Elephas maximus indicus: one gene and its partner. The protein of the gene in region 1 purifies or fractionates together with the protein of each later gene. This does not show direct contact. Links are inferred from orthologs where the notes say so. Each region holds a gene or a part of one and is shown on either strand. Other genes may lie near its edges.

Region 1 (7,111 bases):
GAAATAGTATAAACTGAGCAGAACACATACTTTTGTGGTTACGAGGGGGGGAGGGAGGGAGGGTGGGAGAGGATTTTTTACTGATTAATTAGTAGATAAGAACAGCTTTAGGTGAAGGGAAGGACAACACTCAATACATGGAAGGTCAGCCCAATTGGACTGGACCAAAAGCAAAGAAGTTTCCAGGATAAAATGAATGCTTCAAAGGTCAGCGGAGCAAGAGCAGGGGTGTGGGAACCATGGTTTAAGGGGACTTCTAAGTCAATTGGCAAAATAATTCTATTATGAAAACATTCTGCATCCCACTTTGAAATGTGGTGTCTGGCGTCTTAAATGCTAACAAGCGGCCATCTAAGATGCATCAATTGGTCTCAACCCACCTGGAGCAAAAGAGAATGAAGAACACCAAGGTCACACGACAACTAACAGCCCAAGAGACAGAAAGGGCCACATGATCCAGAGACCTACATCATCCTGAGACCAGAAGAACTAGTTGGTGCCCGGCCACAATCGATGACTGCCCTGACAGGGAACACAATAGAGAACCCCTGAGGGAGCAGGAGATCAGTGGGATGCAGACCCCAAATTCTCATAAAAAGACCATACTTAATGCTCTGACTGAGACTAGAGGAATCCCAGCGTTCATGGTCCCCAGGCCTTCTGTTGGCACAGGACAGGAGCCATTCCCGAAGACAGCTCAGCAGACATGAAAGGGACTGGACAGTGGGTAGGAGAGAGATGCTGATGAAGAGTGAGCTAATGATATCAGGTGGACACTGGAGACTGTGTTGGCATCTCCTGTCTGGAGGGGGTATGGGAGGATAGAGAGAGTTGGAAGCTGGCAAAATTGTCACGAAAGGAGAGACTGGAAGGGCTGACTCATTAGGGGGAGAGCAAGTGGGAGAGCGGAGTAAGGTGTATACAGGCTTGTGTGTGACAATCTGACTTGGTTTGTAGACGTTCACTTGAAGCTCAATAAAAGTTAATAAAAAAAAAATCCTTCAATTCTGAAAAAAAATGCACACAAAATCTCTTAAAAAGATGTCTCTGTTTTATGATAGCTGGACAATTTCTTTCCTTTTTTTAAAAATTTTTATTTTTATTGTGCTTTAAGTGAAGGTTTGCAAATCAAGTCAGTCTGTCATACAAAAATTTATATGTGCTTTGCTATGTGGTCTTAGTTGCTCTCCCCCTAATGAGACAATACACTCCTTCTCTCCACCCTGCATTCCCCGTGTCCATTCAGCCAGCTTCTGTCCCCCTCGGCCTTCTCATCTCACCTCTAGACAGGAGCCGCCCACGTAGTCTCATGTGTCTGCTTGAGCCAAGAAGCTCACTCCCCACCAGTATCATTTTATATCTTATAGTCCAGTCCAATTCCTGTCTGAAGAGCTGGCTTTGGGAATGGTTCCAGTCCTGGGCTAACAGAAGGTCTGGGGACCATGATTTCCAGAGTCCTTCTAGTCTCAGTCAGACCATAAGTCTGGTCTTTTTGCGAGAATCTGAGGTCTGCATCCCACTGCTCTCCTGCTCCGTCGGGGATTCTCTGTTGTGTTCCCTGTCAGGGCGGTCGTCGGTGGCAGCTGGGCACCATCTTGGACAATTTCTTTCTGGTCCTACTACAAGCCTGACATAATAAAGCCCAATGTAGAGATATTTTTTTTTCCCAACAAGGATCAACTCCAACACTTTTATTTAAAAGATAAAACAACTTTATTACAGCATCACCACTATATATAGCTGTACTTTTCTCATCAATTTGGCATAGTTCTTTGAATAAATTCTTACCTACTACATTGTACCAATCTAGGGGGAAGAACAGTAGTCAGACAAGTTTAATAAAAAAATATTTCAGGACAACTGCAGACTATATTAAAGCCCTCTTAGAAAATTATTTACAACTGTATCATAGTATAAACACTCTCGACTTTACCATAAATGCATGAATTTTATAAAAACACACACCCTAGAGTACAAATATAAGTTAAACACTGAGTAAAACATTCACCATATCCAATGGAAGCTATTATTAAGAATGTATTTTAGGTCATATCAATTTTAAGTGATAACCACAAAAGTGCTTCCTTAATCATTCATAATTTTAAACATTTGAGTAGTCATCACAAGGTTTAGAATTTCATCATAAAGTCTCCCTTTTTACAAATGCAAGATGTACAAATGATTTCTCCTTTCCTGGCCCTTTCTCTCTTTAGCTCATGTAAAAAAGCTACAAAGTAATAAAAAATTCTTAGTCAAATCTGACATGCAATATTAAGTATATAATTGGTAAACTTTTCAAAAACTGTTATCCCTAGTTGATTCCCTTTGAAAAGGAAACTGCCAAATTTGTATACAGGAAAAGACAAAAAACATACTTCTACAGGAAGGGTACATAATCAATCTAAAAATAATGTTCCCACACTTCAGGAAACATTAAGTACTACATTTTCTTTAAATGACCATTGTTTTATAAATAATTCTGAACAGACAAAACATTTGCATTTAAATAATTTTGGTATGAAATATGTTTGGAATAGCATAAGAAGCATCTTGCCAATGAGGCATCATTTGGCTGTGTAAAAAATAAGCATGTTCCTTGTTATGGATTGAATTGTGTCCCCCCAAAATGTGTGTCCATATGGCTAAGCCGCGATGCCCAGTATTGTGTGGCTGTGCTCCATTTTGTGATCTGATGCATTTATCCTATGTGTTGTAAATCCTAACCTCTATGAAATTATTTTTTTATGATGCTAATTAGGCAGGATTAGAGGCAGTTATGTTAATGAGGCAGAACACTGTCTACAGGACTAGGTTGTATCTTGAGTCAATCTCTTCTGAGATATAAAAGAGAGAAGTGAGCAGAGAAGAGAGGGACCTCATTACCACCAAGGAAGAAGAGCCAAGAGTGGAGCGTGTCCTTTGGACCCAGGATCCCTGCGCTAAGAAGCTCCTAGACCAGGGGAAGATGGATGACAAGGACCTTCCCCCAGAACTGACAGATGGAGAATGCCTTCCCCTGGAGCTGGTGCCCTGAATTTAAACTTCTAGCATCCTAGATTGTGAGAGAATAAATTTCTGTTTGTTAAGGCCAAAAAAAAAATTGTTATATTTTTCTCACACATATTAATTAGTCCTACTATTAATTACTATGAGCCCTGGTGGCCCAGTGGTTAAAAGCTACAGCTGCTGACCGAAAGGCCAGCAGTTCAAATCTACCATTCACTTCTTGGAAACCCTTTGGGGCAGTTCTGCTCTGTCCTATAGGGTCGTTATGAGTCAGAACTGACTCCACAGCACCTAACAACAACAATTAATTACTACTAATTGTCACTGTTAACTAGTTCTATTGTTTTGCTTAAATAATAGCATCTTTTTTTATGAAGCAAAAAATTCAATAACACAGAAAAACACACTTCAAATAATTTTTTTGTTTTATACTAATGGCACATACGTGTATAATTATTCATTATATGTTATAGGTTTTTTCATCTAGTACAGGTGTGTCCCAGGCTGGCTCTTTAAAGGCTGGTCACCCCAAGAGTGAGGAGCCCTGGTGGCCACAGTAGTTAAAAGCACTGGGCTGCTAACCATAATGTCCGGAGTTGAAACCAATGGAGGTTGGATCCATGGGATAAAGATGTGGCAGTCTCCGTCCATAAAAATTTACAGCCTTGGAAACCTTATGGGGCAGTTCCACTCTGTCCTTTAGGGTCCCTATGAATCAGAATCCTGTCATCTGACAATGGGTTTAGCTTCAGGGCCCCAAGAATATATTACCATTTGGATAGGGGAACAAAATATAAACATGTAATATTTGTAAATTGCATAGACAAGAAACTGGTTAACTAGTGGCCCCTTCTATGAAAGGGAAATGAGTGGCCGGAGAACAGGCTTTCTTATCCTTGTTTCTTCTTTTTATATATATACATATCTCAAGCTTCTTATCCTTGTTTCTTCTTTTATATATATATATATATATATATATATACACACATATATGTATTTGTTTTCACTTCACACCCTGTTCGTATATTACCTCTTTAGAAAATTATTTATTTTACATAAATGTTTGCCATGCTAAAAGTCTGCTAAAGGCACTTGCCACGTGCCAGAATCAGTCTTCGCGTCAGAATCAACGTGTTCGAAACACGTGCATCTCGGCAGAAGGGCCCACAGTTCAAGATGGCTGCCTGGCGGGCAGCCGTTACGGAGGAGCCGGATGAGGTAAGCTGGCACCCAAAAACTGAAAGGCCCACTAGGCCCGAAAATTGGTACGAATTTTATTCTCAATGAGGGAGCCATTACAGGGTTTTAAGCCAGAGAATGATTTGATTTATGACTAAGAGATTCCTCTGGTTGTGCAACGAACGGAGGGGGCTGGGTAGAACTAGCTCTATTTTAAGGCTTATTTCTGTAGTCTGGGTGAGTAATGCTGTTGGCTTTGGACTATTAGGGTAGTAGCACTGGATTGAGATGCAGAGTTGGGGATAAATTTGGTGTACCTTTGGGCGGTAGCCCTGCTGCTAGCTTGAACGTGGATCGTGAGGGAGAGAGCGGTAACATGGCGGACTGCCGTTTCCAGCACGAGTGACTCCTGGTGCCTTTTTCCAAGGTGGAAAACGCTAGCGCCTTGGATTGTGTGGCGTGGCGGGATAATAAATAATTCTTTGGAAGACTTTTAACCGAGCGATGGTTAACTGATGCACGTTTTTCAAGTCACTCGGTCTGGATAGATGATTTTCAAAGGTCACTACACTTTTGGCCATCTGGAGGCAAGTGAGGGCCCTGTGTAGGCCTCAGAGGGACAAGGGTGGAGGAATTCCAGTAGGGACTCTTGCAGGCCATCAGAGGCTTTAGCTTTTCATTGGTGTGAAACGGGTAACCGTGGTAGGGCGTGTGTGTGTGTGTGTGTGTGTGTGTGTGTGTGTGTGTGTGTGTGTGTGTGTGTGTGTGTGTGTGTGTGTGTGGTAAAACATAACATTTGCCATTTGAACATTTTTTACATGTACGGTTAACTCAATGACATTAATTACATTCATCATGTGGAACCATGTGGTAGGGCTTTCAGTGTGAAAGGAGCTGACCAAAGTCCTGCTTTGTGGAGAGCAGGCTATAGGATAGGGTTGCCAAGTTTAGCAAATAAGATGCTCAGTTAAATTTGAATGTCAAATAGAAAAATAATATTTTAGTATAAGTATGTCCCATGCGGAAACCCTGGTGGCATAGTGGTTAAGTGCTACGGCTGCTAACCAAGAGGTGGGCAGTTCGAATCCGCCAGGCGCTCCTTAGAAACTCTATAGGGCAGTTCTGCTCTGTCCTATAAGGTCACTATGAGTCGGAATCGACTCGACGGCAGTGGGTTTGGTTTTTTGGGGGGGGGGGGTATGTCCCATGCAATATTTGGGACATGTATTAAAAATGTGCTTCTTGTCTCTGGTACGCCCCGAGCAAGAAGAGAGCAGTGAGGGCCCAGCGGAGAAGGCTTACTCGCCTGTTTCAGTCCTCCTGGGCGGCCCCTAGTCTCTCAGGTGCCGGAGCTCTGGCTCTCGCCCAGCCCGGCTTCCAGCAGCCTCTACTGAGCGTCCCCCGCCGCCCCCCATCAGCTGTTGTAAAACGGCCGCCAGCCGGTCCCGGCGCGGTAACCCCGCCTTCTGCACCCCCCAGGGGTGGAGCCTGGGTGAGGAGACCGCCAGCTGCCCTTTATCACCGGATGACGGCAGCTCGGATAGCATGGAGTCGAGCAAGATGGCGACTCCCAAGAACGCTCCGAGAGATGCCTTGGTGAGTGCGAAGGATGAGATACGGGGTACGAAGCTCAGCACGGCCCAGAACTTGGGAGTCAGGCCCAGGCAGAGGTCTGGAGGGCGGGCGCCCGTGCCAGCATCAGCCCGGCCGAGACGTCTAGAAGGAATGGGAGATAGGGGTGCGCCCTGGCCCCTGAAGCACTCTCCCGCCGAACTGGCCGAACCCCGCGGGAGGGTCGCAGTTGTCACGGAGTGCGCGCAGGTCGCCCACAAGGCTTTGTCTCCAGGGCCTCGGCCCCTGTTACCTTATCCCCCTCGCGGGATCCGGGAGCCCTGACTCTCTGCGTCTGGGGTTCTGGTGCTTAAGTTTCCCCCTTTGCCACATCTGAAAATGACAACCAGCTGTACCCACCGCTCTGCTGGGAAAGCCAACGCCAGGCCTTTTTTTTTCCCTCTTTGCCCCCGCCCCGACCCCCCCTCAAAAAAAAAGTTTCCAGCAAAGAACTCCATGTGATTTGGTGTGATCAAGACATTAGTTTGGGAGGAAAAGGATGCGTGAGAATTTGGAGCCCAGAGTAAGGGGACATGTATGGTAAAATAAATACAACCGTCGGTCCAGCCTTGATTTCCAGTACCTATTTATTATGCATCTGGTGTTTTTATTTGAATCCACAGGTGATGGCGCAAATCCTGAAGGATATGGGCATTACAGACTATGAACCAAGGGTTATAAATCAAATGTTGGAATTTGCTTTCCGTAAGTTAACAAAACACGAAAACTTTGCCTAACTTGTGAATTTGGCGAGACCATATTTTCAACCAAATTATTTTAAGTTAATGTAATAGAATTCTGTCTAAAGCAGTAAAAATAAGCTCAAGCTAGGAGACAGTAGAATTTATACTTTCAGATCTGTTTAAAATTGATCATATAGATAGTACAGTTAGGTATTAACACCAGAATTCATAAACTTTCTAGAAATTAGTGGAACCTTTTAAGAAAAGTGGTCATAAATATTAAGCTGTTTTCCTGTGTCTAAGAAAAACTATTTTATGCTTAAAGGATATGTGACTACAATTCTGGATGATGCAAAAATTTATTCAAGCCATGCTAAAAAACCTAATGTTGATGCAGATGATGTGAGACTGGCAATCCAGTGTCGTGCTGACCAATCTTTTACCTCTCCTCCTCCGAGAGATGTGAGCAAACTTTCATTCGAAGTTATTTGTACTTATAATTTTTGAAATTGTGGTTCTAATAGTTTTTTTTTTTTTTAGTTTTTATTGGATATTGCAAGGCAGAAAAATCAAACCCCTTTACCACTGATTAAGCCATATGCAGGACCAAGACTGCCACCTGACAGATACTG
Region 2 (6,963 bases), on another chromosome or scaffold:
AGTAGTACCAAAGTTTTACTTTGATTCCATAAAAAGCTTAACCTGGGCAGAAAGTTATCAAATCTGACCACATTCTTCTCATTCCTTGTCTAACAAAAGAAGAATCAAAGTCTGGATACACAACCATAACTCACCTTGGATGAGAAAACTTTTAACTTCCAATCGTCCAGGAATTAATTTCTGTAGCTAACTTGTAGCTGTGTTCTTACTAAGATGTCAATCTCCAAAGGCAGCTCTGACTGCACAATTGTAACATAAATTCCATATTTTTTTAGGGAACATCGTATCTTTAGAAGCTAATGCACTGAGCCCACTGATCTGCTGAGAACCTCATCCAAACTGTCAAACATGGTTTATTCAACGTTAATCACCAAGGTTAAACTATTTCCCAAAGCAAGTCTTCCTTCATTGGGCCACTAGAGAGTGCTAGACATGCAGTTATACAGGAACTGAAGTGATCAAGAAAATGACTCCCAAAGATTCAGAGAGAATGGGAGGATACCAGTAAGAGTTCATGGCTGGTATTTTACCAAAAGGCACTGCGATAGTAACAGCCCTGAATTTTGAAAGAAACATGTATCATTACCTCTTTTACAGAGCTCAAGTTCTGACTAATGAATAATGTTAAGATGTGGTTCAGCAGCTTTCAAACCAAGCAGCTGAAAGGAAAAAGTAAAAGATTACTTTCAACATAGGAAAAAATTCTTTCCTTTAGGAAACAAGGCCAAGTTAATGATGGTTTCAGCTTGATTCCTTCAGTTTTGTTAAAAATGAGGAGAGGAAAAGAGCAGGAATTGCCTACTCAATGCCAAGTGGAAATCAATCTTACATGCTTAAGTCTTAATCAAGAAATTAGTTATACAGAGCTGCATCTTGGGAGAATAAGGTTACCACCTGTAGAAAGCCATTTCAATTCCCGCAATTCCATTAGCAAGTCATAATTTAATCGCTCCTGGACTCTCACACGGATCCCACTAGAAATCCACCTCACCTCAGATTTTTGTCCATGCTAAGAGGTAATGCTTCCCATTCCCTACAATATCAGTGAGACTGTTAGTTTTCCAATAAAAAATGCTATTCATGTGGAAATTGCCTAACAACTCCCAACGTCAGACTATATTCTGCAAAATCATCTTGTTAAATTGTCAAAGTCTATTCAGCTCAGAAGAAAGAATTTCTTATCTCCAAATCTTTAATGGCTTAATCACGGGAATGTACGTTATGTCTGAAAGGGCATAACACAATTTGTATTTCCTCAATGTCTCACAGAGGGGTCAGTTCCTTATCTTCGCACAAGGCATGCGACTCTAATTCCTGCTGCCTCACCTTTCCATCTAAGCTTTTCTTTTAAATGCACTCATTTAGCACAAGGGATTCTCCAAACCTCGATACAAATCAGCAGTCCCGGCTTCGCGGTGGCTCTACAGGGCGGCAAGGCTTGCTACATTTCTAACTGCCCACCCACTCCTCGCCGCCTCCACCCGCGTCCACGCCTGAATCAGGGGCGGGGAGGGTTGGTGGGAACGCCATCTGCCCATATTTGTTCCCGTAAAGCCCGCACCTGGTGCGGGGCTCTGCCCAAGGACCACAGTTGTAACCACGTCCTAATAGGCCCCGGTCGTAGCCATATGGCTCTTCAGTTTCCTTAGGCCAGACGGCCCGCCTCTGGACGTGAATGGACACTAGCATAAAGGGTACTTGAGAAGATGGCAGGAGCTGATCCACTGCAGGCTGCCGGAAAAGTCTCCGACACTGCTTCCCTTTATTGTCTTATTTTTTCTCAGTGCACCCTATTCCCACTCCCCAACACTCCCGCCCCTGTAGGGTTCCTCGTGTTGGAAAAACGGAGACCTTCTGCACAGACCCTGCAGGAGAAAGGCGCCTCTTCCCAGACTTGCGCTCCTCTCTCTCCACCGCTGGAATTGCACAAGCCCACCGAGACCCCGCCCTACCCTACCCCGCGCCCGAAGGGAGGGCAGGAGGAAGGTGAGGGGGAAAAGAAGGTGAGGGAAGGAGGGGAAAGGAGGAGGAGGGGGGAAAGGGGGGAAGAAAAGAGGTGGCCTGGTAGAGGGGGATGGGAGAAGAAGGGAAAGGGGGAGGGGGACGGGAGGGGAGGGAAGGTCAGGGAGGGTGGGGAGAGGGAGGAATGGGAGGGGGAGGAAAAGGAGGAAGGGAAAAGAGGAGGAAAGTGATGGGGGAGGGGGATCGGGGAGAGGAGGAAAAGGAGGGGGAAGGGGAGAAGGAAGGAGTGAAGAAGAGAAGGGAGGAGAGGAAGAGAGAGGAGAAAAAAGAGGGGAGGGGAGATGGGAGGGGGAAGGGGGAGTGGAGGAAAGTAAGGGTGGGGAAAAAGGGAAGGGAGAAAGTTATGAAGAGAACCTTCTGAGGAGAGAGAAGTATGAATGGTGGGGGAAGGATGGGGAAGGGGAGAACATGGAAGGCAGAGAAGAATGGGGGAGGGGGAAGAACGGAGGGAGGGCTGTCGCCCCTCCCCCTGCCGCCTGCGCGAATCTCCCCACGCGCCCCTCGCCCCCAGGGGGCTGGGAGCACCCGGCCACCCGCGAGGTGTGCAGCCCCCGCCCAGCTGAGGGTCTTCATTTGGGGTGTCCCACCTTGCGCTTGAGGGCCTCGGCGGTGCCGCTCCACACGAAGCACTGGTAGATGGCGCGCAGATTCTGCTTCCAGTTGTCCACCTTGAAGCTGCTCAAGTGCGAGCAGCCGGACGGCGCCACCGCCAGCTCGGCGTCCATGGCCTCGCCCTCCGCCTCGCTCCGGGAGGCCGTAGGGGGCAGGGCCCGGCCGCGCGCGGGCGGCGGCGGCGGCGACGAGGACGTGGACGACGCCAGGGCGGCGCGGGGACGAAGCTCGCAAGCGACCGCCGCGCTCCGGGTCTGCGGGACCTGGGCGGTGCCGGCGCGATTACTGCATCCCCCGCCGGCCGCACTGCGCAGGCGCCGCCCCGCCCCGCAGACCCCCGTCCCCGGCGCCCAGCGACCGCCGAGGCCTCCAGTGGTCAGGGCCGCGGGAGTGATGCTACCGAGGCCCCACCCCTGGGCCAGCTCCATTGGAAGCCGGGCCGCCACGTGGCCACGCCCACCACTGCCATTGGCTGCCATTGCAGTCCGTCTCTTTCAGAGCAGCGCCCAGTCCGCAGTGGCTCCGACTGTGCTGGTCTCCACCGATCGCCGGGGAGGTGGGGCATGCTGTGGATTGGGTGACGCGGGGTGTCTGTCAGGGCTCTGAACCGGTTTGCACCGGCCTGAGCTCTGCCGCAAAGAGGCGGAGCGACGGGCTGGGGGTGGTGCAAAGCCTGCAGTCTTGCAAACTGCTTCCTGCGTCTCTGAGAAATCCCTCGACCTGCTCTGCCTTCCCTGGGTCACGAGCAATGCCTTTGCCAATAGAAATTCCCTCCTTTGGGCTTTCTGCAGGGCTCTTCCATCTTTGCAGCCTATCCCACAGGCATCACAGCTCCGTAGCCATGAGTTAGAGCTGCCGGCTTCACCCGGTGTGTGGCACTGCCTCAAGGGAGCATACGGAGTCCCCTACACCAGGACCCCACCTTCAAGTGAGGGTCTCATCAACGCTGTCCAACAGAAATATGACGTGAGCCACATATCTAAAATTGTAAATTTCCTAGTAGCTGCATTTTAAAAAAGCAGGAGCTTTATTGACCATCGCCAAAAAGTGGCAACAGTTTAAAGGTCTGTCAGCAGATGAGCGAATAAACAAAACGTGACACACACGTACACAATGGAGTGTTATTCAATCGTAAAGAGAAATCAAGTTCTGATACATGCAACCACATGGATGAACCTTGAAAACATTATGCTGAGAGAAATAAGCCAGACATAAAAGGGCAATGTATAGATCCACATTTATGAAATAGTTAGAACAGGAAAATCCATCAGGACTAAAGAAGATTAGTGGTTTCCAGGGTCTAGGAGGAGAAGGGAAAAGGGGAGTTTAAAACAAACGAAAGAAACAGGCAAAATTAAATTTAATATATTTTATTTAATGCAGCATAGCCAAAATATTATTTCAACATGTAAACAGTATTTTTTCATTATTGATGAGATTTTTACATTTTTTTGCATGAATTTTTGGAAATTCTGTGTGTATTTTACACTTAGAGCACATCCAATTCATGCTAGCCACGTTTAAAGTGCCAGTGGCTACCACATTGGACAGTGTAAGTACAATCCAAATGAAACTTGCCGGTGAGTGGATTCTAACTCATAACGACCCTGTAGGACAGAGTAGACCTGCCCCGTAAGGTTTCCAAGGAGCTGCTAGTGGATTCAAACTAAGAACTTTTTTTTTTTTTTTTGGTTTTAAGAGCCTGAGCTCTTAACTCTTGCAGGACAAGGCTTCCCACCTTAGGACTGAGCCCTGCCTAAGTTCTTGCCTTCTACTGACCAAGAATGACCAGGAGAGGCTCAGAGGTTCCACATGAACAAAGGTTTATTGTGACAGAAAGAGCGTAAAGGCTCAGGAGTGGGGAACAGAGAGGAACCAGGAAACGCTAGCCTCTGTTACCCCAAACAAAGGTTTTGCTGGGGCTTATATGGGTTTGGCGAGGATAATAATGAATATTTAGCAGGTTTCTTTCAAGGGGCAGGTACTTCTCAGAATGGCAGTAGGTACTAAATTAGGTTGCATGGGCATCTGGAATCCAAGATGGAACTCACAGCAAAGGCTCCTGGGATTGGGTGGCAAAACTTATTACGGGGTGTCACGCCTACGCAGTCCCTCCCGTGGTGCTGGTTGGATTCCTGTCGCGGGTACTGGCATCAGGCAGAAGTCATCTGTGTGTCACCTTGCAGATATCCGCGCGTGCACCAGGCCCAGTTCCCCTGAAAAACATCTTACAAGGGAGTACTTTGTTTGTTCTTTCCTTATCACACATTCAAGGATTGGGGTTTTGCATCATTAGCCAAGCATATAATTTTTGTAAGTAAGTTGCAAGTTGCAGGGCTCCTTGACTAGGGGCTCAGTCGCTGTTTCTCCCCTATCTCATAACTCCTACGCCACAATCAGTACATAAGAAAACTGAACCAGGGCAGCCGGTAGAAAAAATTGTAAAGACAGTGCAAATGATGTCTTGGAGGAGTAAAGGCCCAATGGACCTGGGACAATATCTTGGATGAGGTGTGGTGCTACTTACCTATACTCATGGCATTGAGTTCTTTGGGAGATTAAAGAAAGCTGCCAGTTGCTCTCCAAGTATGCTACTGTGGAAGAGCTATCACAGTGAAAAAATAAAATAGTAACCTCTGGTATATAAAGCTGCAGGGTTTAATGGCTTGAGAACTGGAATAAAGCACTGTGGTTAGGACAAATTGCCAAGTACGCTTTTGCCCTATGTCTTAGTTTTCTAGTGCTGCTACAAAAGAAATACCACAAGTGGATGGCTTCAACAAAGACAAGTCTATTCTCTCACAGTCTAGTAGCGATTTAGGAAATAATATTGGAATCATTATTTCCTGTCCTTGAGCACAGAGAATGTGACCCAGCTGGAGCTGGGCCCACAAAGACTCACAAGGACACATCAGCTGGGCCCTGAGATAAAGAAAATAGATGGGACAATCTTGTAAATTATCTTTTAGGGAAGAAAAAAATCTCTTAGGGAACTTTTCACGTAAAGCCAACCAAACAGAACACAAAAGCCTTTCCACTCTTTTTCTGTTAGCATTTAATAATAATGTTAGCATATAGTGAATAAAAAATTTTTTGGACCCACGAAGACCCTCCTGACTGAAACCTGTACCAAAGACTGTTAAGAAAGACCATTCAAAATGTAGGATCACAGTTTCTAGCCAATCCATGAAAAGGTGAAGCTTTTAATGGTTTTGCCCACTTGTAATGTTAACATATACTGGTGACTCTGGAACTTTCCTTGGACAGGAGCAGACATGGCTGAGGCAGCATGCTTGTCTGTTTTTCCATTCTTGTTTATTCTGTAACATTTCCTTGGACTCAGGCAGACATGGCTCTGGCAACATGCTTGTCTGCTTCCCACTTTTGCCTTTTTTAATATATGCCGAATAAAACTTTCTTTTTGCTTTACTAAACTTTGTGATTTTTTTACCCTACGACAGTAGGCTAGACCTCTGAATTCAGGGCGTCAGCTCCAGGGGAAGGCCTTCTGTCTATTGGCTATGGAGGAAAGTCCCTGTCATCAATCTTCCCCTGGTCTTCTGAGCACAGGGACCTCAAGTCCAAAGGACGCAATCTGCCCCCATCGCTGCTTTCTTGGTGGTGTGAGGTCCCCATGTCTCTCTGCTCACTTCTTTTATATCCCAAAAGAACCCGGCTCAAGACACAATCCAATCCAGTAGATTGAGTCCTGCCTCATCAACACAACTGCCACCCATCCCCCCTCATTAACATCATAGAGGCAGGATTTACAACACATAGGAAAATCACAACAGATGACAAAATGGTGGACAAACACATAATACCAGGAATCATGGCCCAGCCAAATTGATACACGTATTTTTGGGGACACAATTCAATCCATGACACCCTAGAATCTTACACTTGCTGTGCCTTCTGCCTGGACTGCTCCCCACCCCACCCCACAGTCCTTGGCTGGTTCTCCCTAACCCTCCTCCCGGGCTTTATCAAACAACTACTCAATGAGGCCTTCCCCGCCATCCCATTGAAAATTTCAGTGTCCACCCACAAAACTCCGTATTCCCTTACGTGCTTTCGTTTTCTCCAAAGAAAGTATCACTATCTGACATAGTATACCCCTAGGTGGTACAAACGGTTAACATGCTTGGCTGCTAACATAGAGGTTACAAGTTTGAACGCACCCAAAGTCACCTCAGAAGAAAGGTCTGGCAACGATTTCCAAAAAAGCAGCCATTGAAAACCCTGTGGAGCACAGTTCTACTCTGACACACATGGGATCGCTGTGAGTCAGAATCCGTCCATCCCACTAGCATGAAAACTCAGTGAGGG

What was found. The genes of interacting proteins can lie anywhere in the genome.
Region 2: the proteins of TAF9B (region 1) and USP22 purify together in Homo sapiens (affinity purification with mass spectrometry; 3 studies listed by BioGRID and IntAct, with this or other methods). This does not show direct contact. The link is inferred for Elephas maximus indicus from reciprocal best matches to the Homo sapiens genes TAF9B and USP22.

Annotation. Positions count from the first base shown.
Region 1 is NC_064846.1:89,599,971-89,607,081, forward strand, and holds the start of TAF9B (transcription initiation factor TFIID subunit 9B), read left to right. Parts: upstream 1-4,107; 5' UTR 4,108-4,182; coding exon 4,183-4,224; intron 4,225-5,664; coding exon 5,665-5,781; intron 5,782-6,419; coding exon 6,420-6,501; intron 6,502-6,804; coding exon 6,805-6,941; intron 6,942-7,019; coding exon 7,020-7,111. UniProt on the Homo sapiens protein: Essential for cell viability. TAF9 and TAF9B are involved in transcriptional activation as well as repression of distinct but overlapping sets of genes. May have a role in gene regulation associated with apoptosis.
Region 2 is NC_064820.1:215,908,447-215,915,409, forward strand, and holds the start of USP22 (ubiquitin carboxyl-terminal hydrolase 22), read right to left. Parts: upstream 3,019-6,963; 5' UTR 2,748-3,018; coding exon 2,610-2,747; intron 1-2,609. UniProt on the Homo sapiens protein: Deubiquitinase that plays a role in several cellular processes including transcriptional regulation, cell cycle progression or innate immunity.